Linked DNA regions of Notamacropus eugenii. Each later gene encodes a partner of the first gene's protein in a complex. Links are inferred from orthologs where the notes say so. Each region holds a gene or a part of one and is shown on either strand. Other genes may lie near its edges.

Evidence for each region.
Region 2: the proteins of CSF3R (region 1) and CSF3 are in contact, whole or in part, in a crystal structure (PDB 2D9Q), measured with the Homo sapiens proteins. The link is inferred for Notamacropus eugenii from reciprocal best matches to the Homo sapiens genes CSF3R and CSF3. Residues at the interface, in NP_000751.1 of Homo sapiens: Arg164, Arg190, Lys191, Leu193, Leu194, Leu195, Tyr196, Gln197, Asp220, Met222, His261, Ile262, Asn263, Arg311, Pro313, Leu314; in NP_000750.1 of Homo sapiens: Ser42, Leu45, Lys46, Glu49, Gln50, Arg52, Lys53, Leu141, Asp142, Asp145, Thr148, Thr149, Gln152.

Annotation. Positions count from the first base shown.
Region 1 is NC_092876.1:83,170,406-83,186,908, forward strand, and holds the start of CSF3R (granulocyte colony-stimulating factor receptor), read left to right. Parts: upstream 1-7,349; 5' UTR 7,350-7,676; intron 7,677-16,503. UniProt on the Homo sapiens protein: Receptor for granulocyte colony-stimulating factor (CSF3), essential for granulocytic maturation. Plays a crucial role in the proliferation, differentiation and survival of cells along the neutrophilic lineage.
Region 2 is NC_092873.1:355,566,974-355,583,705, forward strand, and holds CSF3 (granulocyte colony-stimulating factor), read left to right. Parts: upstream 1-7,942; 5' UTR 7,943-8,213; coding exon 8,214-8,503; intron 8,504-8,951; coding exon 8,952-9,066; intron 9,067-9,327; coding exon 9,328-9,474; intron 9,475-9,790; coding exon 9,791-9,955; 3' UTR 9,956-10,472; downstream 10,473-16,732. Other genes in the region: mediator of RNA polymerase II transcription subunit 24-like, read right to left, coding at 16,679-16,732. UniProt on the Homo sapiens protein: Granulocyte/macrophage colony-stimulating factors are cytokines that act in hematopoiesis by controlling the production, differentiation, and function of 2 related white cell populations of the blood, the granulocytes and the monocytes-macrophages.

The DNA.
Region 1 (16,503 bases):
AGGGGTGAGGGGGAAATTTGCATTGGAAGAAGAAAGAGGGAGGAGGTTGAAGGGGCTAAAATTATCCCACATGAAAGAGGGATGAAAGAGCTTTTATAATGGAGGGGAAGATGAGGGGAGGGTGGCAGGCAAAGCTTAAACCTTACTCTCATCAAAATTGGCTCAAAGAGGAAATAACCAACAAACTCCTTTGGAGCAGATATCTATCTTACCACAGAAGTAAGCAAAAAGGGACAGAGATAATAGAAGAGGGAGGGAAGACTGATAAAAGGGAGGATAGATTAGGGAAGATGGTAATTAGAAGTAAAATATTTTTAAGGAGGGAAAGGGGGCCATAAGAAAGAGGGGGGACAAATAAGGGAAAATAGCTTGGAGGGAAATAAACAGTTATCTTAACTATAAATGTGAATGGGATGAACTCACCCATAAAATGGAAGCAGATAGAATGAATTCAAAACCAGAATTCTATAATACCTTGTTTACAAGAAACACATGTGAAGCAGAGAGATACACACACGAAAAGGTAAGGGAATGGAGCAGAATTTATTATTCTTCAGCTAACACAAAGAAAGCAGGGGTAGCAATAATGATTTCAGAAAAAGCAAAAGCAAAAATAGATCTAATTTAAAAAGATAAGGGAGAAAACTATCTTGCTGAAAAATACCACAGACAATGAAGTCATATCAATACTAAACATATGTGCACCAAATCGTATTGCATCTAAATTAAATTTTTGAAGGAGAAACCCCAATCCACTCCCTATCTATTAGATTGTGAGTTCTCTGAAGGCTAGAACTATGTCTTATTCTTCCTTTATATTGTGCAGTATAGGGCACCAGGTCTTGCAAATACAAAGAACTCAGTAAATGCAGAACTCAATAAATGCATAAGGAAGGATGGTTGGATGAATGGATGAATGAATGAATGAATCATAGAAAGAAAAAGCCTTCAGAGATCACCTAATCTAAGTCTTTTATTTTCCTAAGATGCAGAAATATTTAGCAGATTGTCCAAAGTTTTGAAAGCAACTGGAATCCATGCTGTCTTTGAGAACTGGGGATGTTAAGAATAAAGACTCAAGAAGATACATGATAACTATTTACAAATATCTGAAAGATTATGTTAGGACAGAGGAGTTAGATTTACTCTGCTTGGCCCCAGAGGCCAGAACCATGAGCAAAGGAAGGGAAGTTACAGGGAGGCAAATTTGGGCTTAATGAGAGATGAAATTTTTCTAACAATTAGAGCTGTCCAACAATAAAATGTACTGCCTTAGAAAACAATGATAATAACAACGATAACTTACTCCTATGGCAGCTTATGGTTTACAAAGGGCTTTATTCACAATAGTCCTGCAAAATAGGTAGCACAATTATTTTTAAGTATATTTACAGATGAGGAAACTGAGAGTCATAAAGTTGAAGTTATTTGCCAGTCCTATAGCTACGGTGTGTGTGTGTGTGTGTGTGTGTGTGAGAGAGAGAGAGAGAGAGACAGACAGACAGACAGACAGACAGACAGACAGAGAGATAAAGAGAGAGAGAGAAGGAGAGAGACAGACAGACATAGATAGGGACAGAAGCAGAGAGACAGAGAGATGAAGAAGAGAAAAGAGGGAGAACACAGTGCAGCAAGCATAACTTACAGAGAGCTGGCCTTGGAGCCAGAAGACTTAAGTTCAAATCTAATCTCTGACACACACTGGTTGTGTGACCCAAAGCAAGTCAACTAACCTCTCAGTATTCTAGGCACATTCTAAGAGAATAAATTGCAGCCAGGGTGCAATCTCTATTTCCTGAGGAAGGTCTTCAACAGGACCTCCTTACACCAATACATTTAGAATCGTGGTCCCTGTCTCCCACCTTATGATGCTGACATGAAGTGTTGTAGAGGACTCCCAGTCAGGAAGCCCTGAGTTCAAGCCCTGCCTTGGACACATCCTGGCTGTGAGGGCCCCATGAGGCAAATAATTTAAAACTCTCAGTGTTCTGGGCAGATATGAATTGCAGAACAGTTGTTGATCCAATTAAAGGGAGTTTTCTTGCTGTGAGTTCCCTAGAGTGATGTAATCACACGTCTGAACTCCCTTCCCCCACCAACAAGGGGGCATGATGTTGACTGTTGGAAGCACAGAATGCATGTCTTAGACCCCAGAAGTTCAGGATTCAAATCCTACCTCAGAAATTTACTAGCTGTGTGACCCTGGGCATGTTATTTAATCCAACAATTTCTGATTCTGTAAAATAGGGATGTAATATCTACAGCACTTAACTCATAGAGTTTTTTGTGAAAATGAAAAGAAATTATTTATGTAACACATTTTGCCAACCTTAAAGCAATGTAATAATAAGATATATAATAGCTAACATTTATATAGTGTAGGTGGTACAATGAATAGAGCACAGGGTCTCGAGTTAGAAAGACCTGAGTTCAAAACTAGCCTCAGATACTTCCTAGCTGTGTGACTTTAGGCAAATCACTTAACCTCTGTTTGCCTCAGTTTCCTCACCTATAAGATAATAATAGCACCTACCTCCCAGGGTTATTATCGGGATCAAATTAGATAATACATGTAAAATGCTTAGTACAGTGCCTACATAGTAGGCACTATATAGCTGCTAGCTATTCTAGTCTACTTTGGGTCTACTATGGACTAGGCACTGATAATATAATGAATGAAACAATTCCAGCACACAAGCAATAGGCACCAACATACCCTGATTCTAGGAGGAGAATGAACAAAGGACAAGGTATTTTATCCCCATGTTGAACTTCAAAGTAATTAAGAGACCAGTCCAAAGTCATGGGGATAATAAGTGTGGGAGATGGAATGAAAAACCATGTCTCTTCGTTGGTCCAGGAACACCCAGAGGTTTTCCCAGTGTACCACAGCTACCTCTCTAATAGGAGCAAATGTAAAGGGAAAAAGACATATTTAAAAAGAAAAAAAGAAAAACAGATGTAAGTGCCTTTTGGAATTATCTGTAGTTTCTGGATAATCCATGTTTTGGGGCTGGACAGTGTCCTGATTCTGCTCTGACTGCAGATGCACAGACAATCTCAAGGTTAGTGTTGTTTTCTCTTTGGAACCTGTGAGTCCTTGTCTCCGTGTGACTAGAGAAGCAGCCTCTTCTAGCTTAGCTGGTTTGGGAATGTGGCCCATGGTGGGAGAACAGGTCCTGAGACTGTCTATGAGGAGTAACACACACAGAGACAGAGGCAGAGTGTCAGAGAGACAGAGAGACAAGAGACAGATAAAGACATACAGCCAGAGACAGAGGGACAAAGACAGAAAGATGCAGATAGAGATAGACATAGAGAGACAAGAGACAAAGTCAGAGAAACAGAAACAGAGACAGCCAGACAGAGACAGAGAACCAAAGACAGAGAGATTGCTGCCCGGAAGAAACTGTTGCCCAGGCTGCTGGGTTGGAATATAGCTCTCTGTGCTGAGATTGTGCAAACAAGGCATTGCTCAAGGATCCGGGTGACCTCCATTGTGCAAACAGGTGTTTACTGGAGGCTCTGAGTTGGGCATGCTCAGAGAGCCTTGTTACCAAAAGCCTGAAAGGCTGACTCAAAAAGAAACAGGAATTATTTGTATGCACATTTTCATGTTGTTTATTGTTCTCAAGGGCTTCCGGCTGAGATGTATTTGATGGGAAGATGAGTGATGAGTTCTATACCTGGACCAGCTTCTGCTCTTCCAAGAATGCAACAAATTTAATAGATGTGTTAAACACCTACTTCATGCAAGTTGCCATACTAGACCCTGGCGATACAAAGACCAAAAAGATGATAATAATTCTGCCTTCAAAAGGCTTACATTCTATTGTGGTTTGCAGGGGAGGTGCGGGGGGTTGGGAAAACAGCATATATAGATTAGGTAGTCTGATGAGGGAAAGATCACTAGCAAGTGCGAGGAGGGGGAAGGGATATCAAGAAAGGTATCATTAAGGAATTAACATCAGAATTAAACCATGAAGGAAAAGATTACAAAAGACGTGCAGATAAATAATTGGGAGCAGAATATTGGGGAGTTGAGGTAGGGGGAAAGATGTGGCAAAAAGAGGGGTCCAAAATGCTTCAGAACCTCACCAGAGACATTTCAATGACACATCAACCTTGAAATGTTAGATTTTGTTCTCCTCAACTTGTTTTTGGGCAAGACAGTCGATTCTTAATACTTATCAGTTGGATAAAAATTTCTTCCTGCTTTTAAAGACTCTAGAAGAAGAAATTCATCATCATCATAAGAACTGACATTTATAATGGGCTTTAAGGTTTTACAAGGCATTTTACATATACTAATATCCTTTGAGTCTCAGAAGAACCCTTTGAAATTAGTACTCTTTGACAAATTAAGAAACCGAGACTCAGAAAGGTGTATTGATTTACACATGAGTGAATGCCACCAATCAATCAATCGATGAGTAATTATTAAGCCCCTAGTTTACATGCTGGGTACCGTACCACGGCTGGGTATACAAAGATAAAAGTGAAATAGTCCCTGCCCTCCAGAAACTTATATTCTATCGCAGGAGACAATATGTACCTTACTAAGTGTACGTAGAATAAATACAAGGTAAATTCAGAGGATGGAGGAGAGTGAAGAAATAGGAGCTGAGGAGAATCAGAAAAGGCTTTACTTAGAAAGTGGTAGTTGATCAAAGTGTCGAAGGAAACTAAGTATTCTTGGAGATAACAGGTGAGAAAAAAGTGTATTCCAGGTAGGAAGACAGTCAGGACAAAGGTTGGAAGTGGAAGATCACATTGAACAACAGTAAGACTCAGCAATGCTAGACCATGGAGTTGAGGAAGGAGAATAATGTATCATAATGTAGGACAAGTTGATTAGGACCAGGGTGTGAAAAATTGTAAAAGCAATAAGAAACAAGATTTCGTCTCAAGATTCTCCAGCCTTAGGGCCCATTTTTGTTTTATTATATTATATGTGTTTCCCATTCTCCCACCTCCCTTCCCTCCCACATTTTTATGCATTTTGCTATTGGCCATTCCCTTACTCCCCCCTCACAGGATGTGTTCCTTTAAAACTAACCTGTGGATCACATATTTGGGGAAGAGAGGGGACTTACATAATGATAACCCATATCTATGCAGACATACCTCAGAGATATTGTGGGTTCAGTTCTGGACCACCACAATAAAGTGAGTAGCATGAATTTTTTGGTTCCCTGATGCATATAAAAGTTATGTTTACACTATACTATAGTCCATTAAGTGTGTAACAGTATTAAGTCTTTTTAAAAAACAATGTATACTATTTAATTAAAAAAACTTTATGTTGTTTTAAAAAATGCTAATAATCACCTGAGCCTTCAGCAAGTCATAATCTTTTTATAAGTAAAAAGTCTTACCTCAGTGTTGATGGCTGCTGACTGATCAGGGTGGTGGTTGCTGAAGGATAGAGTGGTTGTGGCAATTTCTTAAAATAAGACAACAACAAAGTTTGCTTCATAGATCGACTCTTCCTTTCCCTTGAACACTTAGAGATCATTTAAGGGTTTTTAATTGTTGTGTCTCGGGGAATAGGGAGGCCTGAGGAGAGGGAGAGAGAGACAGTGAATGGCCCATCAGTGGAGCAATTAGAATACAACATTTATTACTTAAGGTCCCCAATTATATAGGCATGGCTCACGGCATCCCAAAATAATTACAATAATAACCTCAAAAGATCACTGATCATGGATCTCCTAACAGATATGATAATAATTTTTAAAAGTTTGTAGTAGTATGAGAATTACCAAAATGTGACAGAGTCATGATGTGAGCACATTTTATTGGGAAAATGGTGCCAGTAGACTTGCTCCATAAAGGGTTGCCACAAACCTTCAATTCATAAAAAATACAGTATCTGTGAAGGGCCATAAAGTGAAATGCAATAAAATGAGGTTTGCCTGTATAAAGCTCTACCATTAACAACAGTACTTTCTATTGATCATCTCCCTTAAGTCTCACAAAGATAATCAATACAAGTGTTTTTATCCCCATTTAATAGATAAGGAAACTGAGATTTCGTTTCATCAGCAACACATCTTGTCAGACTAGCCTCATTTCCTTTATTGACAATATTACTGAAATAGCAGATGAGGGGAATGCTGTGGATATAGTTTTTCTAGATTTTAGGAAAGCTATTTTAAAAATATCTCATGCTATTCGTGCAAAGATGGAAAGGTATAGATTAGATCAAAACACAGTCAGATGAATTAACAAAGTTAATAATAGGTAGCCAAACTCAGAGAGTAGGTATTAATGATTCAATGCCAACACAGTAGGAACATCAGAATTGGGAGCACCTCAGTTTCTTCTGAAAGCTTAACATGTTTATCAATGACCTGGACAAAGACATAGATGGTACACTCATCAGATCTGCAGATGACACAAAAGTGGGAGAGACTGTTAACATGCTAGACAACAGTCACAATCCAAAAGAATCTCAGGAGGTTGGAGAATGGGGTTGAATCTAATGGAATGAAGTTCAGCGGGGATAAATGTGAAGTCTAGCACTTAGGGACCAAAAGAAAATCCACTTCACAGACATAAGATGGGAGAAGGCATGGACTCGGGAGTTTAGTGGACTGTAAGGTCAGTGGGAATCAGTTCTTCAAGCAGAGATTAGATGACCAGTTGTTGGATCTTTTATGGCAGGGATTTCTTTCATGTGTGAACTGGATTAAAGGTGTGCCCTCCAACTCTCACATTCTGTGAAGTTCAGAGGGGGCTAAAATTGTAGAATGTCAGAGAGAGAAGGAACCTTAAAGATTATGCAGCCCTACCCTTTAGTATCACAGATGAGGAAACTGAGGCTCGGATAAGACACACAAAGCCAAAATTTGAAGGCCCTCTGACTACAAAGTTAGCTCTCTTTCCATGGTACCACCGCTATGTTACCTCAATATAATTGACACAAATTTGAAGTGGGTACAACCCTCTTCTCTCTATAAAAACAATGGCCAACACCCAAAATTCTCCTCCACCTTGTTCTATCCTCCCTCCCCATTGGGATTCAGCTAAAGAATTACTCAGAGAAATTCACAACCAAGGACTTCAAGGAAAGGTAGGTTTCAGGTTACCCAAGTGACCAATATTTGGGGGAAAAGGAAGAAGGATTAAGATTGCATTTGACCTGCCCAACTGACAGGTTCCCAAAACACCTATTTTGGGGGGACAGTAGCAGGGCAGGCCCCAAAATAGGCTGCAGAACCCCTGGCCTCTGTCCAGGGGCAAGACTTCTAGACCAGGAAATCCGGGGGGTGGGGTCTTCTGAGCCTTGCCACATCCCCAAGCCCCTTTAAGGGTCCTGGGCAGGAAGGCTGCCCCAGAGTGGCTGCCCAGCTTCTCAGAGCTCTCCTTCCTGGGGGGAAGGGGCTCCCTTCCCAAGGAGGGAGGCTGAAGCAGGTGTTGCAATCCCCCAACCCCAAGGAAGGCCTGTCAGAAAGTCAGAGAGACTAACGACAGCCCTGGGTTGCGAGGGAGGGGTATGGGGAGAGGAAGGTGGAAGAACAGTCTGTACTGAAGTAGTTTTCAGGAACTGAGCAAGAAAAGAGATGATGTGAGGCCCCCGGTGATTGCCTGTGGCAGGCCAGCCATCCAGTCCAGCCAGTTCGATCTCTGAGAAGTGACTGAAGGGGAGGTAAAATGACTCCACGCATGAGGTAAGTCCTGAAGGCACCAGCCCCCAACCCTCTACACCTCCCCAAGAGCAACCCCCATTCCCTCTCAGTTGAGCCCTGACAGTCTGAGGTCCCTCGGTTTAAACTAGGGCCAGGAAGCCGAACCCCTGGAACCTTACTTAGGCCCAGCTCCTTAGGAACAGGAGTGGTGGGATATGTGGATCCAGATGCACTGCGCTCCCTAGATATATATCAGTTATCGGCATCTCCAGCGGAGCAGAGGGGAAGGGATATCTGTCTGTCTACCTGACGCACATAGGAGAAGGTCCCCTCCCATCTTTCCTCATAGGGCATGTAGGCCCTGAAAGAGATGGAGTATATATATATATATAAGCATGCCTTTTAAGACGAATCCACTTCTGCTCATATGATTTAAAACTAGAAGGGACCTAGGTGGTATAAGCTATAGAATATAGGTGAAGTCAGAAAGATCTGAGTTGGAATCTTACCTCAGACACTCACTATGTAACCCTGAACAAGCTGCTTTTCTGTCTACCCCAGAAAAATCCATGGGATTGAGATAATAACAGTGCCTACCCCACAGGGTTGTAAGAACCAAATGACAGGATAATATATGTAAATTGGTTTGGGAACCTTAAATTGCTGTGGAAATATTACTTACTAGAGATCATCTTATCCAAATGCTTCCTTGTACAGATGAGGAAACTGAGGTACAAAGTAGCCAAGCTTGGATTCTAACGCACATCCTCTAACACCAAATCAAATGTTTCCTACTAACACTTTGATCAGAATTCTAAGGCAAATGGCAAACTGAGTAAGAAAAGATGAAAAACACAAAGATTGATGATAAGGGGTTTGGGAGCTCTGAGGAATAATGCAGAGATCTCTGAAATCAAAGTAAGGGAGCCTAGGCCTAAACCTTTGGTCTAGTATTACTACTAAAAATAACAATTAGCATTTAAAATATGCAAAGTGCTATAAAAATATTATCTAATTTTATCTTCATTTACCTGTGAGTAAATGTTATTATTATCCTTATTTTCAAATGAGAAAGCTATAGCAGACAGAGATTAATTGACTTACACAGGGATCACACAGACGGTATGGATCTGAGGCAGAATTTGAACTCAGGTCTTCCTGATTTTAAGTCCAACATTCTATCCACCATGCCACCTAGCTCTCTCTAACTCACTCTCTTACCTTAAGCAAGTGCCCTGTCTTTCCTGGGCCTCACTTTGCCCATCTGTAATATGGCAATCATTGGCTGGAGATGAAAACAAATTAGCAGATTACCAGCTCCCTGGTGATAAGTTTTTCTTAGCCCATCTAGGTTGGTCCTTAAACAACAGATGCTCAGGCTCTCACTGGACCTAAGCTGCCTACATAGAACCACAACACAGTCAAAGTTGGGGAAGAGGGGAGTGGTGAATGGAGAGAAAGAAGATGCCTCCATTTAGAAAAGATATGAGATTGGACTAAATGATTTCAACCCAATTCACCATTGATTAAGCCTAAGTCTCTAACATCTGCCATGTGTACTGGGTGCTAGAGGAGAAAGAGATTAAGGGACAATTCTCTGAGGTCTTTCCAGTTCTAATGTGGGGTGGGGGGAGGGAAGAGGAAGGAAAAATGAAAGACAAAGGAAAAGTAGGAGCCAGAGAGAGAGTATAAGAATGTAAGGAGAATCAAGGGAAGGGAGAAAGGAAAAAGAGGGAAAGAAACTTCTCAGAGAGAGGAGAGAGAGAAAATGAAGGGCAGGTTGAACAATGAGCAGAGAAAAAGAGAAAATGAAAAAGAAGTTGAGAAATAAATTTAAAAAAAGAAATAGCTGATATCAATCAGAATGTAAGCAAAGACTCTCTCTTTGTAGCCCCTACATTTAGAACAATATCTGGCACAGAGAAAACTTATTGATTAATTAGTATTTATGTAGAATCTTCAACTCTGCAAATCACTTTGATCCTTACAACAACCTGGTGTTATTCCTATTCACCTTTGACAGATGAGGAAACTGAGGTTCCTAGAGGCTAAGACCACACACAGTATTTGAGGCAGGATTTGAATCCAAATCTACTACACCATACTACCTCTAAGGAAATGGAAGGGAAGAGATGATGCAATACAATGAAGGAAGGGATAGTGCTGATCCATCCAAGTTTCTGGATTCTTCTTTGTTTATGAAGACCAAACTCTTCAGCTGTAGCTGGGCTGAAAGAGTCAGAAGACAGGAGAATAAAAGGCTTCTCCCTCTATCCGGTGGTTTCTGCGGAGAGAAGCAAATCTAAAGAATACAATGAGGGGCAATGAGGACTCCAGACACACGATGACTGGGTAAGAAAGACAGACAGCTATTTGATATAAGCCTCCATTAAATGATGCTACTTTAAAGTTCTTAAAGAACCTTTGGGAGGCTCCATTGCTAATAGAACACTTTCCTTATCATCAAAAAGATTAGGGTTCCAGTCTTGCCTCTGACACATTCTAGTCATTTAATCATGGACAGGTCACAACCTCTCGCTGCTTCAGACATCTCTGTGAGCCTGTAAGTTACAGAAGAGTAGCTGATAGGTTTCGTTGGAGGGAGCTTCCATCTAGGGAATTCCCACATGAAAGAAATCACAAGATCAGACTGAAAAAAAAATGGGAACCTTGAAATTGGCAATACAATGTAGTGGTTAGAGTGCTGACATATCCAGAGGTCTTGGAATTCAGACCTTCCCTCAGATCCCCACTCTTACTATGGGGGACCGTGACCAAGTCATCCAACATCTTTGCAGGTCAGTTTACTCATTTGCCAAAATAGGATTTGTCCTCCCTAATTGACAGGGCTGTGCTGAGGAAAGCACTATGTGATCTCTAAAGGTTAAACAAAGGTGTGTCGTTATATTTCCCAACTACCTCCATCTCTGTTCTCTTCTGGCAGAGTTCATTCTCTTACTGTCAATCAGAATTTACATATTGGTGGAAAGATGTTGTCGCCTTAGGCTTTGTCTTTATTGGAATGAGTGGCCACTCAAGAATAATCTGAAGAAAGGGAAGATGCTTAGTCTGAAGAAGAAAAGATTTAGGAGGCACAAGATCCCTTAGCAGAACTACAACCCATGGGAGGTAGTTTTAAAAGGGGAAATGTAGATTCCCAACAAAGAAATGTCCCCTTACAATTAGAGATGTCAAATACATCCAAACACATGGAAAGGGTCAGTAATGGGAAAAATCTTAGTGCTCATCTAGTCCAATCCCTTCATTTAACAGATGAGTAAACTGAGACCCAAAGAGGTCATTTCTTTCCCAAGGTGCCATAGGTACTAAGTGGCAGCGCCAGGATTTCATTTCAATGCAGCTCAACAAATATTTCTCAAGCTCATGCTGTGTACCTACGCTGTTCCAGGCGCTGGGATTTGTAAGACAAAAACAAAATCATCCATGCTTTACAGTCTAATAAAGGGATAATGACATTTGTATGGTAGAATGAAAGTTCCTTGAAAGCGGACACCATTCACAGTGCCTAGAATAGAGTAGGAGGTGAATAAATGTTCATTTAATTGAATATATACAAAGAAAAATAACTTTTAAAAATGGCAAATGCTTATGAAAAATCAGACATTGAGGGATGAAAGATTTGGTGATGGAAGGATCACTTCTACCTGAGAAACTGTCTCAGAAGAATTGTTTATATTATATCTTAGGATCAGAGATTAAGAACTGAAATGGACAGGAGGATAGACATATAGTCCAACTGTCTCATTAAATACATGAAGCAACTAAGACCCAGAAACCCAGAGAGATTAGAGGGTTATAGCTGAAAGGGACCTGAGAGACTATTTATTTTAACACACCCACTTCACCACCACCCATCCATTCTACCCATGTGGAAGCTGAGGCTCACAAAGATGAAGGGACTTGTCAGAAGTCATATAGGCAGTAATTGACAGAACTGGGATTCAAATTCATTTCCTCCAAATCTAGTGCCAAAGAAGGAAAAGATGGAGATAAGAGGAAGGGAGATGGGAAAGAAAAGTCAATCCAGGCAGGTGAGTCTATGTAAGTAAAGGTATGACAATGGGTGAAGGTAGACTGGGGACCAGAAACTCTTCTGCCTTGAACACTGAGTATATAGGGGAACAGTATGAAGTAAGAGCTGAAAAGGAGGTTGGATCTGGATGGTCAGACTAAGTCATTTGCATTTTATCCTATTAGTGATGGAGAGCCACTAGAACTTTTTAAACAAGTTAGTGACATTTCAGGCTTGTGCATGAGAAAGATTAATCTCATGGTATGTACAGGATGGACTGGGCAGAGACAATAGGCAAGAAGAGTAATTAAGAGTCTTCTTCCAGGAAAGAAACAATGAGAGGCTGAACAAGGGTGCTAGTAGTGGGAATGCAGAAGAGATGGATTTCTGAGATATTGTCAGTCAATGAACATTTATTAAGCACCTACATATGCCAGGCACTAGGATAAGCACTAAGGATACCAAAAAAAAGGGCAAAAAATAAATAATCCTTGACCTCAAAGACCTCACAACCTTGGGGCAAGACAACATACAAATAAATATGCACAAACAAGCTATCTATAGGATAAATGGGAAATAATGAACAGAGAGAAGGTACAGAACTAAGAGGAATTGATGCAAGTTTCCCATAGAAGGTGGGATTTTAACTGAAACTTGATGGAAGCCAGGGAATCCAAGAGATGAGAAGAGGTGCATACAAGGCTAAGGAAAGCCAGTGAAAATGCACAGACTTGGAAGATGAGGTGTTCTGTTTGAGAAATAGCAAGAAGGTCAGTGTCTCTGGATATTGAAGAGTACATGATAGGATGTCAGGTGTAAGAAGACTGAAAATGTGACAGAGGGATTAGGTTATGAAGAGCATTGGACATCAGAGTATTTTAATTTAATACTGAAGATGATAAGAAGTCACTGGAGTTTATTGAGCGGGGAGAAGACATAGTTGGACCCGAACTTTAGGAAAACCACTCTAGCAACTGAGTGGAGGATGGCCCAGAGTGAGGAGAGACTTGGGACAGGGAGACCTACCAACAAGTTATTGGAATAGTACAGGCATGGAGAGAAACCAGGATGTATGAGGGTAATGACAATAATAGAGGACAGACGGATGGGGGATATTCCAGAGGTGTTACAAAGGTTTGCAACAGATTAGATAGGGGTGAGAGACAGAGAGGAGTCAAGATAACACTTAGGTTTCAAATCTGGAGGACTGGAAAGATGGTGGTACCCTTCACAGTAATAGGGAAGTTTGAGATAATAAATTCATCTTTGGAAATATTGAGATTAAGGTGTCTATATAATGGCCAATTCAAAATGTCCAACAGGCAGTTGGAGATGCTAAACTGAAAGTCAGTAGAGAACTCAGAGATAAGTAGATTTGAGAATTATCAGCATAGATATGATAACTGAATCCATAAGAACTGATGAGATCACCAAGTGAAATTGAATAGAAGGAGAAAAGCAAGGGGACCAGGACAGTACCCTATGGGACATCCACAGTTAGCAGGTGTGACCTGGATGAGCATCAAGCAAAGGAGAATGAGGAGTAATCTAATGAGTAAGAGAACCAGAGTAGTGCCCAGAAAACCCAGAGAGAAGAGAATGTCAATGAGAATATGAAGGAGAAGAAGGTGAACGATTAAGTCAAGACTGAGAAAAGGCCTTTGGATTTGGCAATTAAAAGATCATTTAGTGTCTTTGCAAAGAATAGTTTCAATTGAATGATGAAGTCCAAAACCCAACTATAGAGGGTTAAGAGGAGAGAGAGAGGAAAAGAAGTGGAGGCACCTATTGTAGATGGCCTTCTCAAGTTCATTTATTTAGCCACAAAAGGCAGATATAATATGGGACAATTTAGTTAGTGGGGATGGGTGGATCAGGTGAGGTGTTTTTGAGAGCTGGGGAAAGAAATAGGTAGGCAATAAAGAAGTAGCCAGTAGACAAGAAGAGATTGAAGATAAGTGGATAGGACAATCTACTGGAGGAGACAGGATGGAATGGGGTCACTTGTGCACATAGAGGGGTTGACCTTGGCAAGAAGTAGGGCTACCTCATCATGTGAGACAGGAGTAAAGAAAGAATTAGTGGGCAAAAGTCATCTTGATAATGTGAAGTAAGGGGTAGGGGAGAAAAGGGACCCCTCAGCGAATGCTTCAATTGTTTCAGTAAAATATGAGATGAGGTTCTTAACTAAGAGGATGGAAAAGGTGAGTCATGGAAGTTTGAAGAGGGATGAAAAGTTTTAAGAGAGTCATGGTGGTGAGTGAGATAGTTATTTAATTAGGGAGTTAAAAAAAGGATTGTCTTATTGCAGTGAGGGTCCAACTGAGGTTGTTTAACATAAATTTGAGGTGGACTCAGTCAGGACAATTTGATTTTCTCTTATTTCATTCAAAAATAGATGCATATGACCAGATGCAACAGATGGTGGAAGAAATCCAGTGCTAAAGTTTGGCAGGGCACAATCAGTGATATCATAAGGGAGCAAGGAATTCAACAGAAAAGGACAATATAGAATTGAACTGATTCACTAAGGCTCAAGATAGGGAAAGTAGGAGAGTATGGCTAATGAAGGAGTGATGACCTGGGAGAAAATTGAGGGGTTAAAGGATTGGAGGTCATGGTGTAGATGAACAGAAGGTTTTGGTATTAGAAAGAAGGAGAAAAGGTAGAATACTAATGGATTGTGATCAGATAAGGGAATTTCAGAGTTCATGAATATGGAAGTGGTGTATTTGTGAGAGATCAAAGGTATGAGCATCTCTGTGTATAACTAAGGTAGGATGGAGAAGAAGGTCATGGGAAATGAGTTAGTTGAGGAACTGGTATATTAGGGTCTGGGTGGGCAGGACATGAAGTCTCCTAATATAAGAGCAGGAGTTGAGGAAGAAAGAAAGATTATAAACTGGCAATTGTTGGGATGTAGCAGATGAGGGAGAAGGAAGAGAAAGATAGAAGAGGACTCCAAGGTTATATGAGAGAATGGCATCACCAACTGAAACTGGGAAATTGCAGAAAGATGTAGGTTTAGGAGGAAAATGACAGGTTTAGTCTGGGACATACTGAATATGAGGTATCTCTGGGACACTCAGATGGAAAGTGTAAGTAGTGTAATGAAAATAGTACTGGACATGGAATTAGAGAAACCTGAGTTTGAATCCTACTTCAGATACTAGCTAATTTCATAACCCTGGGAAAGTCACTTAACATGTTAGCTTCATCACCTTCCTCATCTTTGAAAATGGGATAATAATAGTAACTACCTCCAGGGTTGTTGGGAAAATCAAACAAGATGACATGTAAAATGTTTTTCAAATATTAATGCACTCAATAAATGGATTATTATTATTATTATAGCTGCAACTTGGATACACAGGAGAGGGATTGGACCTGTATATGTAGTATATATAGATTTGGAAATCATGAGATGATCGATAAATCCATGGGAGCAGATGAGACTACCAAGGGAGGAAGTGTTGAGGGAGTGGAAGGCCAAGGACAGAGCATTGGAAGAGACCTCAGGCTGCAGGGGAAAGATAGACCAATCAAGGATATCTAGGGGTAGTCAGATGGAACCAAAGGTCAAGGAAAAAAAGGAAGAAAGAAAGGAAGAGAGAAAGAAAGAAAGGAAGGAAGGAAGGAAGGAAGGAAGGAAGGAAGGAAGGAAGGAAGGAAGGAAGGAAGGAAGGAAGGAACATTAGCTTTAGAGATAAGGAGGTCAAATGGTAGCCCCAAAGAGGGTCATTTCTGGAGAGTGGTGAGGACAGAATCCACACTGCTTGGGGCTGAGGTGTGCCAGTGGCAGCAGTAAGTGTAGAAGGCTCTCAGCTTCACAATGAATAAAGAGAAGAGAGGACCATAAATTGGGTCTCCGACAGAGTCTTGATAGGTCCAACAACAAAGCTAAGCACTCTGGATACAAAATAAAAGGGGAATAGACCCTGCCCTTAAACAACTGCCTGGAGAAGAGGGAGGGGAAGAGATTCCAGTGCATCAAAAAATAAGTGCCAGATAACTTGAGGGAAAAACCAGCCGCAAAAGGAGGATGGAATGGACTAATCAGCCCTATCTTTCTTTCTCTACTTTGCTACACCTCCCTTTCTCCCTCCTACTCCTCCTGCTTTCTTTCTCCCCTGCTTTTCTTCACATTCGTGCATGATCACAAGATGCAGAGCTGGAAGAGACCTTAGAGATCATCTGGTCCAACCCTCTTATTTTACTGAGCAGGAAACAAAGGTCTAAGGTGCCAACCAAGCTTAGGAAAGCTCCTATGTCCTGGACCTGGGATTCAGCTCTGACACTTACTCTCCATCATAAAGAGTAGAAGTTAGAGTTTTGGAGGCAGCTAGGTGGCACAGTAGATAGAGCAGGGCCTTGGAGTCAGAAGACCTGAATTTAAATCCAGTGTCACTTACTAGCTGTGTGACCCTGGGCAAGTCATTTAACTCCCATTCCCTCAAAAAAAGAAAAAGAAATTAGAGGTTGTGCAACCTATGACCCTCTCTAATCCAATTCCAGGGTTTAGAAACAGACTGGAGAAAAAACTGCAGTTCCCTAGAAAGAGTTGTGAAGGTAGAAAACCTCAGTTCACATTCTTCTTATGTCACTTATTAATAAAAAATGTTCATGATAATAGCAGGCACTATACAAAGGCTTTGAGAGCTATAAAAGAGCTTTGAAGTTTTGCAAAGTGCTTCACCAAAATCTCATTTTATCCTCCCAATAATATTGTAGATAGGTGCTATTATCCCCATTTTACAGATGAAGAAATTGAGGCAGATGAAGGTCAAGTGAATTGTCCAAGGTCACAGAGCTGGTGCCTGAGGGTTTACTAATAAA
Region 2 (16,732 bases), on another chromosome or scaffold:
TCCCCAGAGTTTTACTATCTTTTAGTGATCTTTTCATTTAGGAACGTCTTTCTGATCCCTCCAGTTGCTGGTGCCTTCTCTCCCCAGAGTTCATTTTGCATATAATTTATATTGCATTTTCTAAGAATATGCTGTTTTCTCTATAGAATGTAATACCTTGAGAACAGGGACTGTTTTATTTCATGCTTGTATAACCAGCACCTAGCCCAGTGCCTGGTACATAGTAGAGATCACAGGCTAAAGCATCCAGAGACCCTAAATTCCATCTAATCCAATCCCCCTCGCTTTATAGTGAAGGAAACAGAAGTTTAGAAATTTTAAGTGACTTTCCCAAGGTCACAGAAAAAGTATGTCAGGAGTGGGATATGAACTCAGGTCCTCTAACTCTTGAGTACTTGAGTTATGGAGTTGTGCAGGATATTGTAATAAATGCTTATTCAATGAATGAACAAATGAATTAATGAATGGATATTGTTGCAGATATAAATTATTCTTATTTCTGTTTATTTCACCCTGCATCTGTTAATAAATCTTCTTATATTCCTCTAAATTCCTTGTATTTCTCATTTCTTGCTACACTGTAATACTCTATGACATTAATGAGTCAGTTTTTAAGTCATTCCCTAATTGATGGGCACCCTTTTTGTTTTCAGTTCTTTGCTGCCAGAAAGAGTGCTAGAAGGAATATTGTGGTTTCTATTAGACTACTGTTTCTGTCTCTTACTTCTTAAGTATGTGTGATCCATTGGAGAATCACTGAGTCAAGGGGTATAGACCGTTTTGTCATTCCTTGCATAATTTCATACTAATATTTGTAAGTTAAACCAATTCATCACCTCCCAACAATGTATTACTGTGCCTTTACTCTCATACTCCTCTCACTTTGACTATTAAGTTGTCCTTTTTTTTAAATCTTTGTACCAACTTTCAGGGTGGAAGGGGAAATTTCAGAATGATTGTCATTTGCATGTCTCTTACCACTGGTGATCTGGATCATATTTTCCTGTGGACAGTTATATTTTGCAATTCTCCTTTTGCAAACTGTTTGTTCCCCTCCTTTGGACCAGTTATGGATTTGGAAATGGACTCCTGGTTTCTTCATTTCAAAATCTAATAATTTTTTTCTGTCATCACTTAATTTTGACCTCTCTTCAGCATTCAACATGACAACCCCATCCTCCTTCTGGGATTTTCATGACACTTTGCTCTCCTGATTCTCTCCTTCTTCTGACTCAGTCTCCTTTCCAGGCTCATCATCCATACTCTGTCCTGTCATATGTGAGTGTACTCTCTCTCTTAGGTCCTATTCCCCTGTCTTGCTCAGACCTTGATATTTTATCAGTCCATCCTATCTTCTCTTCTAGTTCCTGCACGAATTTAGACATAGGCTCAACTATCCAATACCACTTAAGTCAGAACAAATCAGAGAACAGAGTGGGTGAGAGAGACACATCCTACCTACAGGTGACGGGAATGTGTGTCTTTCACCTTTCAGTCTGTTGTACTTAGACACTTATCTGAAACAAACAAACAAACAAAGATGGTTGCTCATTATACAAAATACTTATGTTAAGGAGAATATGTATATTCTTGGCTAAAGGAGACAGGTAAGGGATGTGTCGTGGTAGTGTAGCTGGTTTCACTAAATCAAAAGGAGTTTCTTGAAAGGCTACATAATGGACGTAGATATCCCAGAAGATGAAATCCTCTTTTTTTTTTTTTTTTTTTAGCAATTTAGTCTTTTTGTACCAATGACAGAAACAAAGAAAGACACTCAAGAGAACCAACCACTGCTGTTGGTCCTACAGTACCTGCATAGGTCATATATAGTCAAATGTTAACTACATTCTCTCCAAAATTCACTTTAAACAAAAGTTAAGCGAGAAATTCTCTTAAGACATGGTAAACTCATCAAGTTCAATGATCATCTCTGTGCAGATGACTCCTAAATCTCTATATCCATTTGAAAGGCAGCTCTCATAGAGAATATGTACACTGCCTCCATGCTAAAGGAACACACACAGTAACAGCCACAGTGTGTGAGGACTGTTTTTAATAGACAGTCCTTCACAGCAAGGCAAGAACCTAATACATTTCCCAAGGACTCATGATACAAAATGCCATCCACATCCAGAGTAAGAACTATGGAGTTGGAACGCAGAATGAAGCAGACCTATTTCCTCTTTTGTTACGTTTGGTTTGGTTTAGTTTTTCTTGTGGCTTCTAAAAGAACACAGAGAAAGCCTTTGATTGATTCCCAGTAACAGAGACTCAGGGGCCATCTCGTTCCTTTGACCTGTGGGTTATAAAAGTGAGTTGGGAGGGCCTGCATCCCTCTCTCCCTTTCTAGCCATCCAGAACTCCCTCATTATTTTCCCCTTGCACATTCTTCAGGAATGCAGCCAGCGTGGTGGGAGAGGGAGATGGAATAGGAGGAGAGGTTTTCCTTGTCTATTCCCCCACAAGAGGTAATTACAATTGACACAGAAGCAGCACATGGCAGGTGCAGACTTTTTTCCACACTACCTGAGGAGAGGAGTGCAAAAATTCTGTTCCTGAATCCCAGCTCCTTGCCAGGTAGCATGATCCTAAACTTCTAGTCTGAAAAGATACTGAGCAGCACCAGCTTTGGAGTTAATTCATGGGTGATTTCAAATTTGAGTGCCTGGGTTCTATGGTTTGGGCAGGAGCATCTTCTAAAGAGAATTTCCACAACAACGTGCTCCTTGGATGAGAAGAAAAGACCAATAGAAGCCGAAGGATGAAAGCCATAGGACATGTGGACCTTGCTAACTCTCCCCGGTATTGCTTGGGCAGTGCAGATCAAGGTGAATGAGGAATGTCAAGGAGTAACCCCAGAATGTCTTACCTTTTGGTCTGATGGTTTTGTATTTCTGTATTTGCCCACAGGCTCCTGTGAATTCTATGCATTTTCTGTGGTAGTCAAAAAAAAAAAAAAAAAAAGGCTGACCCATTTATTGAATGCCTATGTAAAAATTCCTGCTACCCACATTGTGGAAAACTTAGACATAAACCAAACCTAAGCTTTATTCTGGAGATCTCCCCAGAATAAAATGTATGTAATTGGGGCAAGAGCCAAGGAAACTAACCCTTCAAGGAGTCTAGTCTCCAAGATCAGATCCATGTGAGCCCAGAATTCCTTGGGGAGCTTTGAGCCATATGCGGGTGCTTGCTGGCAAAATTTTAACAACCAGAACTCAGTGGGTGTATGCGTAGCTTACTAAACTTAAATTTAATCTTCATTACTAACATTTTCTCCATCACTTTCTTAAATCTAGACAATCAACAAGACAATAGCTCAGACCCCAATCTGACTATTTCAGAAGGGTAAATGCTTACACTGAAAATTTAACAGTGGGCACTCTGGAGCACAAGCTGGCTCAAGCACACCCCTGCCAAGTCACTTTTATTGATGCTCTTTCTTTTTCTTTTCTCTCTTTTTTTTTAATTTCATTTTTCCAACTGGCTTCCCTTGCCTACGATAGAACCCTCCCTTTTAATAAATAAGCATAGTTGAACAAAACAAATCATTACATTTGGTCATATATGAAAATATATTCCTCATTTGACTTTTCTAATCTACCACCTCTCTGCCAAGAGGTGGGAGAAGCACTTGGCAGTCAGTCTTCTCAAGTGCTCAGTGCACTGACCATAAGCCTGAAGTCTCTCGGTGTTCTTCTCCTTCATGGTGTTGTAGTCAACCTGGACACGGGTCTGCCCCTGATGATATTGCTCTGTCTCCGTTGTTAGGAGTCTTGCCAAGTTTCTCAGAATTCTTCATATGCATAATTTCTTTTTTCTCTCTTTAAATATTTTATTTTTTTCCCCGTTACACGCAAAGACAATTTTTAACATTTATTTTTTTAAAAATGTCGAGTTCGAAATTCTCTCCCTCCCTTCCTTCCTCCTTCCCTGAGACAGTAAGCAATTTGATAAAGGTTATACATGTACAATCACGCAAAACATATTTCCATATTAGTTGTAAAAGAAGACACAGACCAAAAACAAACAAACTATGAATAAAATGAAGTAAAAAATAGTATGCTTCGATCTACATTCAGACTCCATCAGTTCTTTCTTTAGATGTGGATAACATTTTTCATCATGAGTCCATTGGAATTGTCTTGGATTATTATATTGATCAGAAAAGCTAAGTCATTCACAGTTAATCATTGTATAATATTGCTCTTACTGAGTACAATGTTCTCCTGGTTCTGCTTATGTCATTCTGCATCAGTTCATGTAAGTCTTTCCAGGTTTTTCTGAAATCAGCCTGCTTGTCATTTCTTATAGCACAATAGTGTTCCATTGCAATTATATATCACAACTTGTTCAACCAAAATAATGGACAATTCTCTCAATTTACAATTCTTTGCCACTACTAAAAAGGCTGCTATAAATATTTTTGTACAAATAGGTCATGTTCCCCAATACCCCCCCTTTTAAAAATTTCTTTGGATTACAGACCTAGTAGTGGTATTACTGGATCAAAGGTATGCAGTTTTATAGAATTTGGGGCATAGTTCCAAATTGTTTCCAGAATGACTGGATCAGTTCACAACTCCAACAATTAGTACATTGGTGTTCCAATTTTCCCACATCCCCTCCAATATATACCATTTTCTTTTTCTATCATATTAGCTGATCTGAGATATGTGAGAATTATACTTCAGAGTTGTTTTAATTTGCATTTCTATAATCAACAGTGATTTAGAGCATTTTTTCATATGACTATAGATAGCTTTGATTTCTTCATCTGAAAACTGCCCATTCTTATCCTTTGACCATTTGTCAGTTGGGGAATAACTTACATAAACTTGACTCAGTTCTCTATATATTTAGAAATGAGGCCTTTATGAGAGATACTTCCTGTGAAATTTTTTCCCCAGTTTTTTGCTTTCCGTTTAATCTTGGTTGTATTGATTTTGTTTGTGCAAAAGCTTTTTAATATAATCAAAATTATTCATTTTATATCTAGTAATGATTTCTATCTCATTTGGCTATAAGTTTTTCCCTTTTTTATAGATTTGGTAAACTATTCCTTGCTCTTCTAATTTGCTTATATCATCACACCCTTTATGTCTAAATTGTGCATCCATTTTGACCTTATCTTAGTATATCTGTAAGATAATATAGTGTAAGATGTTGGTCTATACCTGTTCTTCCATGCTATTTTCTAGTTTTCCCAGCAGTTTTTGTCAAATAGTGAGTTCTTGCCCCAAAAGCTAGGGTCCATGTGTATCATCTCTTACAATAACAAGTCATCCTTGGCAAATAACTCTCCTTCATTCCTTTCTACAAGTAAACGGAACCCACCTTTGGGTCCCTTGGCTTCCATTGGTGAATTTTTGCCTTAATTTTTAGGGGCTCAGGCCATTTTGTCTGTTCCAAATCACTCCCGGTATCTCTAACTCACCCCCCTCCCCTTCCCCTTTCCAGGGGTATTGTCTTTCCCTATTAGCATGTAAGTTCCCTTAGTGCAAAGACTGTCTTACTTGCTTGTACTTGTATCCTCGGTGATTAGTACAGCACCTGGCACATGGAAAAGACTTAATAAAAGCTTCATCTACCTTTTTCCTTTCTTTCCCTCTCCCTTCCTCTCTGTCCCATTCTATGTCTCTCTCCATCTTTGTGTCCCTCTCTTCCTCTCCCTCTCTCTCTATCTTACTCTCTCTGTATATACATATATACACACATTTATATATAATGTATATATGTACACATGTGTACATGCACACACACATATATAGGCAGCTAAATGGCACGGTGGATAGTGTTAGAACTAGAGTCAGGAAGTCCTGAGTTCAAATCCAGCCTCAGTGTGACCCAAAGCAAGTCATTTAACCTCTCTCTGCCTCACTTTCTCATCTGCAATATGAGGATAATTTGGGAGGGGGGGGTTCTTTTTTAATTATATAACTCATTTAGACAGACATCCTCTCATTTGGTTTCATATATTTACGAACTTCTCCAATTCTCCTTTCCACTGCAAAATATTTAAGCTGTGATTAAAATTACAGCTACTGTGGGGCCGCACTAGACTTGTGCATTTTTTTAATAGAGAAAAACAAAAACTCTAATTACTTTTTCTGATTTTTCTTTTGCCTGGAAACATTTTGGAAAAACCTCACCAGTCTTTCCTTCCTGTCAATAACCACTAAAGTAACACCACTAGCCAGCTTTGTCAAGATAGAATAGGAATAATAATAGCACCGACCTCCCCAGCTTGTTGTGAGGGTCAAATGAGATAAGATTTGTAAGACACTTAGCAGAGTGCCTAGCAGAGAGCAGGCGCTGTTAGCTATTATTAGTACTTAACCTCGGCCTCATTTTTCTCAACTGTAAAAGGGGAGGGGGGGAGCAAGGGAGTGGTGGTAATAGCACGAACCTCCTAGGGCTGTTGTGTAGGTCAAATGAAATAATTTGTAAGTAGTTTGGGATGAACACCTAGTAGGTGCTTAATGAAAGCTTGTTTCCTTCATTTCTAAAGTACCGACTGTGTACCAGGCACTGCTAAATGCTGGGAATACAAAGGCTAACTGATAGCTCTCAAGGATCTGTAATTTAGAAAGCATTTTCCTTTCAACAACCTAAAGAGGTAGAAAGTGTGTTATTAACATTCCAAATGAGCTGAGGCTTGAATAAGTGAAATGATTTGTCCACTAACAGACTGGGGAGTGGCAACCAGAGCTCGTCTTTTGACCCACAAAGTTCAGGGTCTGTTTGATACCTGTCAGGTGTGGCCACCAGGTGGAGTGAGAGTCCCAGGGATGGTCCCTGCTGTAAGGGGGCACCCTTCATCTCAGGAACGAGGGGCAAAGCTATTCTTGGGCATGGGGCACATGGTGGGGAAGGCAGTATCCTGCCAACCTGTCCTCAAATCACTTTCCAAGGACAGAGCTGTTCCCCGTTCCCTGCTCTTGCACACACACACACACACACACACACACACACACACACACACACACACACATTGCCAACTTCCTTTCTAGGGGGAAACATTCCTAACCAACAAGGCTGTGAAAGGGGCAAGCCTGACCCAGTCCCTGTGACTCTCCAGGAAGATGATGCGTTCTAGGGGGAGCGAGAACATGACCAGTTCAGTCAAGAGCTACTGCGATTCTTGCTTCACTCAGGACAGACATCCGGTTTCAGCCAGCTGGGGAATTTGGGGGCTTAAAAGAATGAGTCATGACTCACTGGTTGGGGGATGTGCGTGTACTATGGGGAGTTCCCAGCATAACCTGCTCAAAGCAGCCTGAAGGTTGGAATTGTGCCTGGTCCAGAGGAAGGGGGGATGGGGGGAGAGGGGAACAGAGTTAGAACATGGCGGTGGAGCACCCTATAGCTTCTACTATATGCCCCAATTTCAGATGCAAGAGAGGCAGTTACTTCTACAGGGAGAAGAGGCAGCCAAATCCAGGAAAGCTTGAAGAAAGAGACACAGTCACAGGGGCCAGAGAACTATTCCTTCCCTTCTTAGCCAGGGAGCCCAGCCAGGCTGAGGGAATTAGAAGAGAAGGCTGCAGTGCGAGACCAGAATGGGCTAACAGGACAAGAGGGACCCGACGGGTCTTTCTTCTTGGCTTCCATCTGTCTTTTTGTCACTGGCTCCATTTCTGTCACTGTTCTCCATCTCTTGGTCTCGGTCCCTCCCTCTTATCAGGCAGGCCCTAGATCACACAGTTCTCTTAGAAAGCCCCAGGGCATCTCTGGGCTATGGGGTGGGGCGGGGAAGGGAGCACCGGACGTCAAAGGGGGATGAGATATTCCATTATTTCCCAAAGTTTTCGCAAACTGAGCCCTCGGCGCCCCAGACCCCTGCCCTCCCACCCCCACCCCCTGACCCCACTCCACCCTAAGGCATTGTCTTGGGCATTGATTTGCATAAACCTGGGAAGTCATTACTAAGAACTTTCAGCACCAGGTAATTTCCTCCCTGAATGGCCCATCCTATAAAGGCTTCAAGCAGCCAGCCTCAGACACAGTCCAGCGCCTGCAACTCCTGATCCCAACAGGCCCCATCCATCGACCAGACCAAATCCCCATGAAGCTTCCCAGTGAGTCTGGTGACCTAAGGGCCCTTCTTCCTTCATCGCTAAGACGGGACTGCCTGGGCTGTCTATCATTCTGCCTAGGGTTAGGAAAGGCACCTGAAATGAGAAGGGAGTGGGATTCTCATTGACTTTATAATGGGGAGGTGGGGAGAGTCAGAGACACTAGAGGGATCCCTTGTTGGGAATGGAAAATGTCTTAGGGTGGAGGGATGGGGACCCTTCTCTAAAGAAAGTCTCTGTTTTGATAATTCCCCTCCCTCTCTTTCCCCAGACCTGCTGGTATTCTGGCTGAGTGCAGTCTGGCCTCAGCTCCTTGCCATCCCCCTGAGCTCCTCCAACTACCTACACCAGAGCTTCCTTCCCCAAATCCAGGAGCAAGTGAGGAAGATCCAGAATGACATTGAAGGACTACAGCAGGAATTGGTGAGAAAGGGACCCAGGGAGTAGGGAAATGAGAGGCCCAGGGGCAGACTGGGGTGAAAGTGGTAGCACCTGAGAGTGCCCAGGGAAAGGACATGGGGAAAACAAGAGTGAGCTAGAATAGAAACCAGGAAACCAAATGAATGGGGATGTTAAGAACAATCCCACTGAGATAGAGAGAAACTGAGGAGGTACAGGAGGCAGGAGGAAGGCTGGGATATTAGAACTTCTGGCTGGAAGGAACTTTAGGGTGGGATATTAAGAGAAGCTGAATCTGCTCAAACTTGCCACAACTATGAGTAAGAGCCAGGATTTGAACTCGCTCCAAATTCAATGTTCTCTATCCACTGCCATCAAGATAGATGGTCAGACAAAAACTAAGAAGCAGAGACCATATATAGGGCCCAGGGGTGACCCTTTACCTTCAGTTCTACTAAGCATTCTATTCCTGTCTTCCCAGTGTGCCAACTATAGACTGTGCCATCCAGAGGAGCTGATTTTGGTTGGCCAGTATCTGGGCATCCCCAAGCCACCTCTGAAAAACTGTTACAGTCAGGACTTAAGACTGGTAAGTGTCCCCAAACTCTTCTCTGACCTCTGGAGTCAGGGATAGAAGGTATGGGAAAATACACATTCTTTCTTTCCTCTTTGGGGGTGGGTAGCTCCCCAAAAAATCCTATCTGGATTTCACTAATTCTACCCTGATGCTCAGTGCTACAGTTTAGGGAGAGGAGGTATGGATTTGAGAATTTCATGGAGGGAATGTAGGGCGGAAGAGTGTTTAGCTCCAGCTCCAGGCCCTTTCTCCTAACACTCTGCCTAACCCTAGGTGGCCTGCCTGAATCAGCTGCACTATGGGCTTCAGCTCTACCAGGGTCTTGTGAAAGCACTAGGGGGCATCTCCCCTGAGTTGGCTCCGACTGTGAACATCCTGCAGCTAGACATTGGTGATTTTGCTGCCAACATCTGGCAACAGGTGAGACTTACTGCTGCCTAACTGTGAGGCATTCCATTACATATCAAATGAACATCCTTCCTTTTCCCTTCCTGATATTATAGATGAAAGGATGTTTTTGTTCTTTAGGGAATAGCCATTATATTTAGAGGGGAGGTATGGGTCAAAGGTCTAAAATGAACCCATCTCTACTGTTGGTCTTAGAGGACTGTTAGGGTGGAATTTGTCCAGGAGGCAGAAATCATCTAACGGTTGAGGTTCAGCCATGGAAGGCAGTGGTTGAGACCTGCTGGCTCCCCCTCCAAACTCTACCTCTGACACCTTCCTTCTCCCACAGATGGAAGATCTTCAAGTGGCTCGTGAGGTCATGCCCACTCAGGGCCCCCTGCCCACCTTCAGTTCCTCCTTCCAGCGGCGAGCGGGGGGCGTCATCATCTTTAACTACTTGCAGGGCTTCCTGGACATGGCATACCGTGACCTGCGCCACCTTTCCCAGTCCTGAGTTAATCCTATATTTATCCCCTATTTAATATTTATATATTTAAACTTAGTAAGATATTTAAAGGGTGAAAGGGACTGGAGTCCTCTCCCTCAATCCCATTTCTAGGTCACAGTCAGTCTCCCTGCTCATAGCAGGGGAAAATCCTGACCAGCCATCCTGGGGGCTGGAAGATAAATAGGTAAATACCAAGTATTGCCATTAAATGACCAATCTCCAGGTGGGAGATGCTCCGTTGTTTAATATTTAAACAGCAGTGTTCCCTAGGTGAATACTGGTACCTACTCTCCTGGTCTAGCCATGGCTGGGTTGGAGGCAGAGCCTAACTTACCAGTCTTGCCAGGGTCAATCCAACTCTGTCCTTTGGTTTTTCCTTTGCTGCATGGGAAAGGCTCTTTGCAGAACAAAGAATGCTTTGGCTGGGAGGTGATGACAAAGTAAGCTCCTTGAGGGCAGGCACAGTTTTTCATTTTGGTGTTTGCATCCCCTGTGCTAAGCACATTGTAGGCATTTGAATAAATATTTGTTGAATTGCACCTGAAATCCTAATTCTGTGTGAAGTCATTTTCTTTTCAAGAATTTGGGGTGTGAAGAAGGTATTTATGGGAGATCAGAGGAGGTCCCTGGAGTCCTTCTTGCTCTGAGCATTCATGGTGGCTTGTTACTTTTATTCCTGGTATCCAGCTGCTGAGCAGATGCCCAGCTAGCTTTCCAAGAAGGGAAGGTAGGGCTTGGTGGGGCTCCCCGAGCTGGAGGTCGGCCCCCTTTTTTTTACATTCCCAGACAGTCTGCCTAACCCAGCTCCACTGTTGATACCCTCTGAACAGAGAAGGAGCTGGGTTTAAGCCTTCACAGCCTGGCTGAGCTTCTATGAGCTTCTATTAGCCTGTCTGGGTTGTAACTGTTGATTTAATTATAATTTTGATCATGGTAAGAAAGGCAGAATGGAGTAGTAAATAGAGAGATATCCTCAAAACCAGAACAGAGGGGAGGCCTATAGATGACAGCGTCTGATAAGGTAGGCTCTGAACACTTCCCACCACCTCCATGCAAACTCTCCTCCCTAATCTCCCTCCCATGCCCACCACATTCATTTCAATTCTGTCAGAGCCAGACAAGCAGCCTCTAATCAGGTAACCACCATATCCCAGGGCAGTTCCATTGGCACAAAGTGCCACAATGGCTAGTCTTCTCTCTCCATGCCTAACAACTGCCCACCCTTCAGTTCCTCAGAAACCAAATTTCCTTTCCCTGCCTAGTTTCTAGAGAAGAAATCCCACGTAAGCTGTGCTAGAACAATTTCTCAGCTTGGAATTATAAAGAACTTTAGAGTGTCTAGCTATAATGGACTAGGAATTAAAAGAATCCCATTTTCCAAATCCCTCTCCTGACGAAAATAATTAAACTAGAAGCCAACTTTGGTTGGGCCTCCCAAGTAGGGTTTATGAGGATGAGGGCTGGAAGGAGTTACACTCACACGTGAAAGCTGGGCTCCAGTCAGAGAGGGCCTAAGGGAGGGAGCCCATAGCACTGATCTCTTCCCTCCAGCAGCCACTCCTGGATTCCCTAGAGGAGGGCAGGCCAGACCTACAGACGGACACACCCCAAACCTCACAAGGAATAGTAGAATAACACGTTCTTTATAATAAAGATGGTGTGGAAAGTGGATCCCAAAGGCATACAAGAAATATTTCTTAGTCCTAGCAGGTTGACTGCTACTTGGAAAAGCAGAATACAGGAGTCTCTCTTATTTGACTAACTACATTTGTTACAAGGGTTTTGTTATCCTTATGTTCAATGGGGGAAGGGAGAAAAGGAGGGAGAGAAAATAAATGCTTAGTATGTGAAAAAAAATTATAATTAAAAACAGAAAGACAAGAAGGAGGAGGTTTCAATCTACATTCTAATAAACCAAGGCATGATGAGAAGCTCTCCAGGAATAATTGACCAAGAGTTAAGGAGGCAGCTGGTGGCTCAGTGGGTAGAGCTGCCAGCCTGGAATAAAGAAGACCTGAGTTCAAAATCCAGCCTCAGACACTTACGAGTAATGTGATCCTGGGTAAGTCACTTTACCTCTGACTGTTTGACAAAAAGATCTAATGGAGAAGGAAACAGCAAATCACTCTAGTGTCTTTGCCAAGAAAACTCCATAGAGAGCTGTAGTGCATGAGATCGCAAAGAGGGGCATATAACTGCGTAATAAAGATAACAAAGTCAAGGAGTGGACATCACAAAAAAGTACATTATAACAAGTCTTAGACTTGGAGTCAAAGAACTGATTTAGAAATTGCACAAATGTCCCATCCCAGGTAAACCCTATCCCCTCCAATACACTGCCCACACCTCCCCAAATTCACTCCCCAATACCAAAGAGCAGAGCCACCTGCTCTATCCACTCAGGAGGGACAGTGCCCTAAGGGGCAGCACAGGGCCTCCCACCCCCAACACCTGCCATCTCTCTCACCCGGGCCCCACAACTTACAGTGGTGAAAGGCATGAACTGCAGGATACTGCCTCGGCTGCCCTGCTCCAGGCAGTCCACACACTCCTCCATGAACCACTGCACAAACTGCGTGTGAGGGCCTGCTGTCCTGGCCCCCAAGATGGAGGAGATGAGCAGGAACAGGTTTGCTGTGCACAGCCAGACACAAGAGGTACAAGAGGATCAGTCAAAGGCACAAAGCATGAAGAAAAATCTGGAGATGCAGAGGGAGCAGAAAGGGCAAAGGAAGTTCTGGAGGCAGGAAGAGAGCAAGAGGAAAGGAGAAATCAAGAGGGGGGAGAACAGAGGAGGGTTAGGAAGAAGCAGGAAGAGGACAGAAGGGAGGAGACAATTTGGTACAGGGGACACCAGAAGGTCCTCAGGGGCAGACTGGGAGAGGGTCTCCACCACCAGGTAAGGGAAGGTGGGAGAAGGGAGTCTCCTGCCCAGCTGGCCAGGCTTAGGAAACAGAGGGAACTTACCAAGGACTCGGTTCAAAGGGTCTCTCATATTGACTGTGTGCATCCGAGAGGCTGACAGAGAACTGCTCATGGACCTGTCAGCTGGGGAATGGGAGGAAGAGGCAGAGGGGAAGACATGGTTTGCTCAAAACCCTCTCCTTCCCCACTCCAAGGGAACCCCTCCTCAAACCCTGAGGCCTCCCCAGTCCCTCCCCATCCCTCCCCCAGTTTCCTGGCTGACTGGTGAGATGAACCCCACTCTGTTTAAAGGTCCCAGGGCAAACCCTAAGTCAAAGTATATCCCCTTCCTCACAGAAGAGCCCTGAGAAGAAGAGAGCCTCCCCAAAAAAGGCTCCTGGCCTAGGAGGAATCCCACAGAGGGAATTTCAACCCTCACATTAAGGAAGCCCCACACTGGCCTCTCTGCCAGACAGAGGGAAAGGGATGGAGGAATACCAGATCCCAGAGACAGAAGTAGCTCAGGCACCAGAACCAGGCCAACCCTAGCCATCAGGTCACTTTCCCTGTGCCCAGCTCCTTACAAGAACTTGGGAAACTGCTCCCAGGACTACAATGGCACTAGAACAACCTCCTTTGGGGACTTCTGTCCTGAAACCTACTTTCTGCTCTATTGAACATTCTCTCTCAGGTCAACAAAGACCTCCCAGGTGTCAAATCCAGTGGCCTTTTCTCAGTCCTTAGCCTTCTTCAGGACCCTCTGACATCATTGCCCAGCCCCACCCCACCCCCTTCTCCCTTGCTCTCAGAAACCACACTCTCTTGGCTCTCCTCCCTCCTCACCACTCACTCCTTTTCCTTCTCCTTTCACACTATCACAGACCTCAGAGGACATCCAGTGCAACAAACACCTAAGCAAGAATATCCCCAACAAGAGACCATCTTAGCCTCTGCTTAAAGACCTCCACTGATGGGGAACTCACTCTCTGTGGAGCCTGCCCATTCCTTCCATCCAGTGTTTTGGGACTGCCCTGATTATCAGGAAATGTTGCCTCAGATCAAAACAAAATCTGCCTCTTGTGCCTTCCACAGATTTCTAGATCTGCTTTCCAGGGTCAGGGAGAACAAGGCTGAACCATCTTCAGTCACAGACCGTCCAGCTAACTGGATAGGATCCTATATATTTACAAAAATATTTATAGAACATTTTGTGATGGCGAAGAACTGGAAACAATGTGGATGCTTATAGACTTGGGAAAAGCTAAACAAATGGCGATGCATGAATGTAATGGAACATTACTGTGCTGTAAAAAATGATGAATGTGATGAATAAAGAAGCATGGGAAGATCTACATAAACCAAAGGAGAGTGAAGGAAACTGAGACAAGAAAAAAGACAAACATAGTGACTACGCTGGAGTAAATGGAAAGAATTGCACAAAAAAATCAAAAATCAATATTTCAAAATTATGAAGAACAAGACTCAAAAGTAGAGATAAGGGAAGACACCACCACTGAATCCCTTTAAAGAGGTGGAAGGTGCACAAGTATTGTACATTTTCAAACTTTTTTGATCAGTTAAGCTGATCTTTTTTCTTCTTCGGTTTCTTTTTCTTTTTTGTCTTAAAAAATCTCGTATATGAGATGGCATTTGTGGAGGGGAGAAGATACTAGAGGAAATGTAATATATGAAAAAAGAGATCAATAAAATTTATTGCTAAAAAAAGACAGGAACAGTGAGTAGGGCAAGGAAAGTGACAGATGCACTGTACTCTACTTTGGTTGGACAATATCTGTAGTAATGTTTTCAGTTCTAGGAACCACATTTTAAAAAGGACACTCATAAGCAGGAGAGAACCCAGAAAAGGGTAATCAGGATGGTGACCAGCAAATGTCAAATTAGAATCTATTGAAGGAAATGGGGATACTTAACTTAGAGAATCAATCCATCAACAAGCATTTATTCAGCACATACTACGTGCCAGACAAGGAATGAAGCAACCTCTACTCTTTAAAGAATTTATATTTCACTTGGAGAAGAGCTGACATAGAGGTGAGGGAACAAGGGAGTCACCTCAGAGTACTAGAATGTGTTAGTAATGAGTTTTGTCTGCTTGACTCCAGAAGAACCAGGAGTGATGGACAAAAATTATAAAGATGTGATTCTGTGGTCACGTAAAATAGGGAGAAACAGAAAATTCACAGGTCAAGAAAGGACCAAAAAAAAGTTTAGGAAGAGTAAAAGGCAGTTAGAGAGGTGAGATCAGAGACAGGTTAGAGGTTTGGGAGGTGGAACAATCTGACATGATGATGAGATCTAAGAAGTGACCACCCTGGGGATAGCTAAGTATTGAGGAAGGCTTGAAGGCACCGACATTAGTGAAACTGAAGTGTCATTAACATGCACAATGAAATTATCAAAATTGTGGGCAGGAGTGAGGGTGGCAAGGAAGACTGCCGACTAAGGACTAAAACCATCAAGGAAAGAGAAGCCATATGAACCAAAACATTTATAGAAGCCGTTTTAGTAGCAGCAAAGGAAAGGAGAGATCCTTTCTTCATTGTAAAGGTGAAGGGTCAAGGCTATGGAATATGGTCTACATAGTCACAATTCATTGATATGTTGATTATTTTCCTTGAAATACTTTTTTCTTTCTATGGACAATACAGAATACAGATTCAGGGTGATGTGATACCTGTCAAGAAGGGGAAACACTACTATGGTTAAACCTTCCACCCCTACTCTCCAAAGATCTATGCTATAGAAAAACTCTAGATCAATTAATCTATCCTCTGCTGTGGTGAACAAGAGGAAGCTCCCAGTAGCTCTACTACCAAGGCCTGTCTTATTCCATAGCAGAATTCCACTGGATGGTGAAAAGGGGACACTCTATGTCCAAAGGGGAAATAGTCCCCTTCTTACAAAGTATTCAAGCCTGCTTCTCCCTAGCCTGGGGCCCTGCCACATTTAGTGTAAATAAATAGAAGTCATAACCTACGAACCAAGTGCATGGGTGGGGAGGGAAGAGGGGGGAGGAAAAGGGGGACCTCATATTTCTCAGACTTTAGCCTAGGTTTGGCTCCAACCCAAAACAAACCAATAATTCCAGGAGAAGGAACTCAAGCAGGGGCTGCCCCTGTACAGGTCTTCCCGGCTCTGGATTAGTTGGGTAGAAATGGGCGGAACCAGAATTCTCTAAAGAACAAAGAATCTTTACACTCAGGTAAAGATGCTAACCCAATTCTGAGAATAGTAACTTTAGAGTAAATAGTAATCTTTTTTTATTTTTTATTTTTTAATGTTTAACAGTCACTGCCATATGTAAATAGTAATCTTTAGAGAATACATCTCTCTTTGGACCACAATTTGTCCATGGTCTAATGGATAGAGTACTGAAACTGGAATCAGGAAGACCTGAGTTCAAATTCTGCCAAAGAATTTCAGAAGCTTGCAGGGTCCCACTTAATTTCTGTCAACCTGTTTCCCATCTATAAAATAAGGGTAGCACCCACCTGATAAGATTATTGTGAGACTCAAATGAGATGACCCAGGAAATATATTTTGCAAGTTTCGAAGCACTATATAAATACTAGCAATTATTTTTACTAGAGTTCCTCCTTCTCATCCAAAATTTTGGCAGCAGAAATCTTTGAGAAAAGGTACGAGCTAAAAACTCCTACATCATGGACAACGTTCTATTGAAAGGAGCAGAAATGATCACAATGAAATAAACTCTACAGTAACAGTGAAAACATTTTAGCTGGACTTTGCTATCTCTTTCCCTTACAAGACATTCTAAACAACTGTCTTCCTCTTAAGAGGTGCTCAACAAGTATTTGCTGAATGAATGACTGAAAGAAGGTGAGATCCCCAGGACCC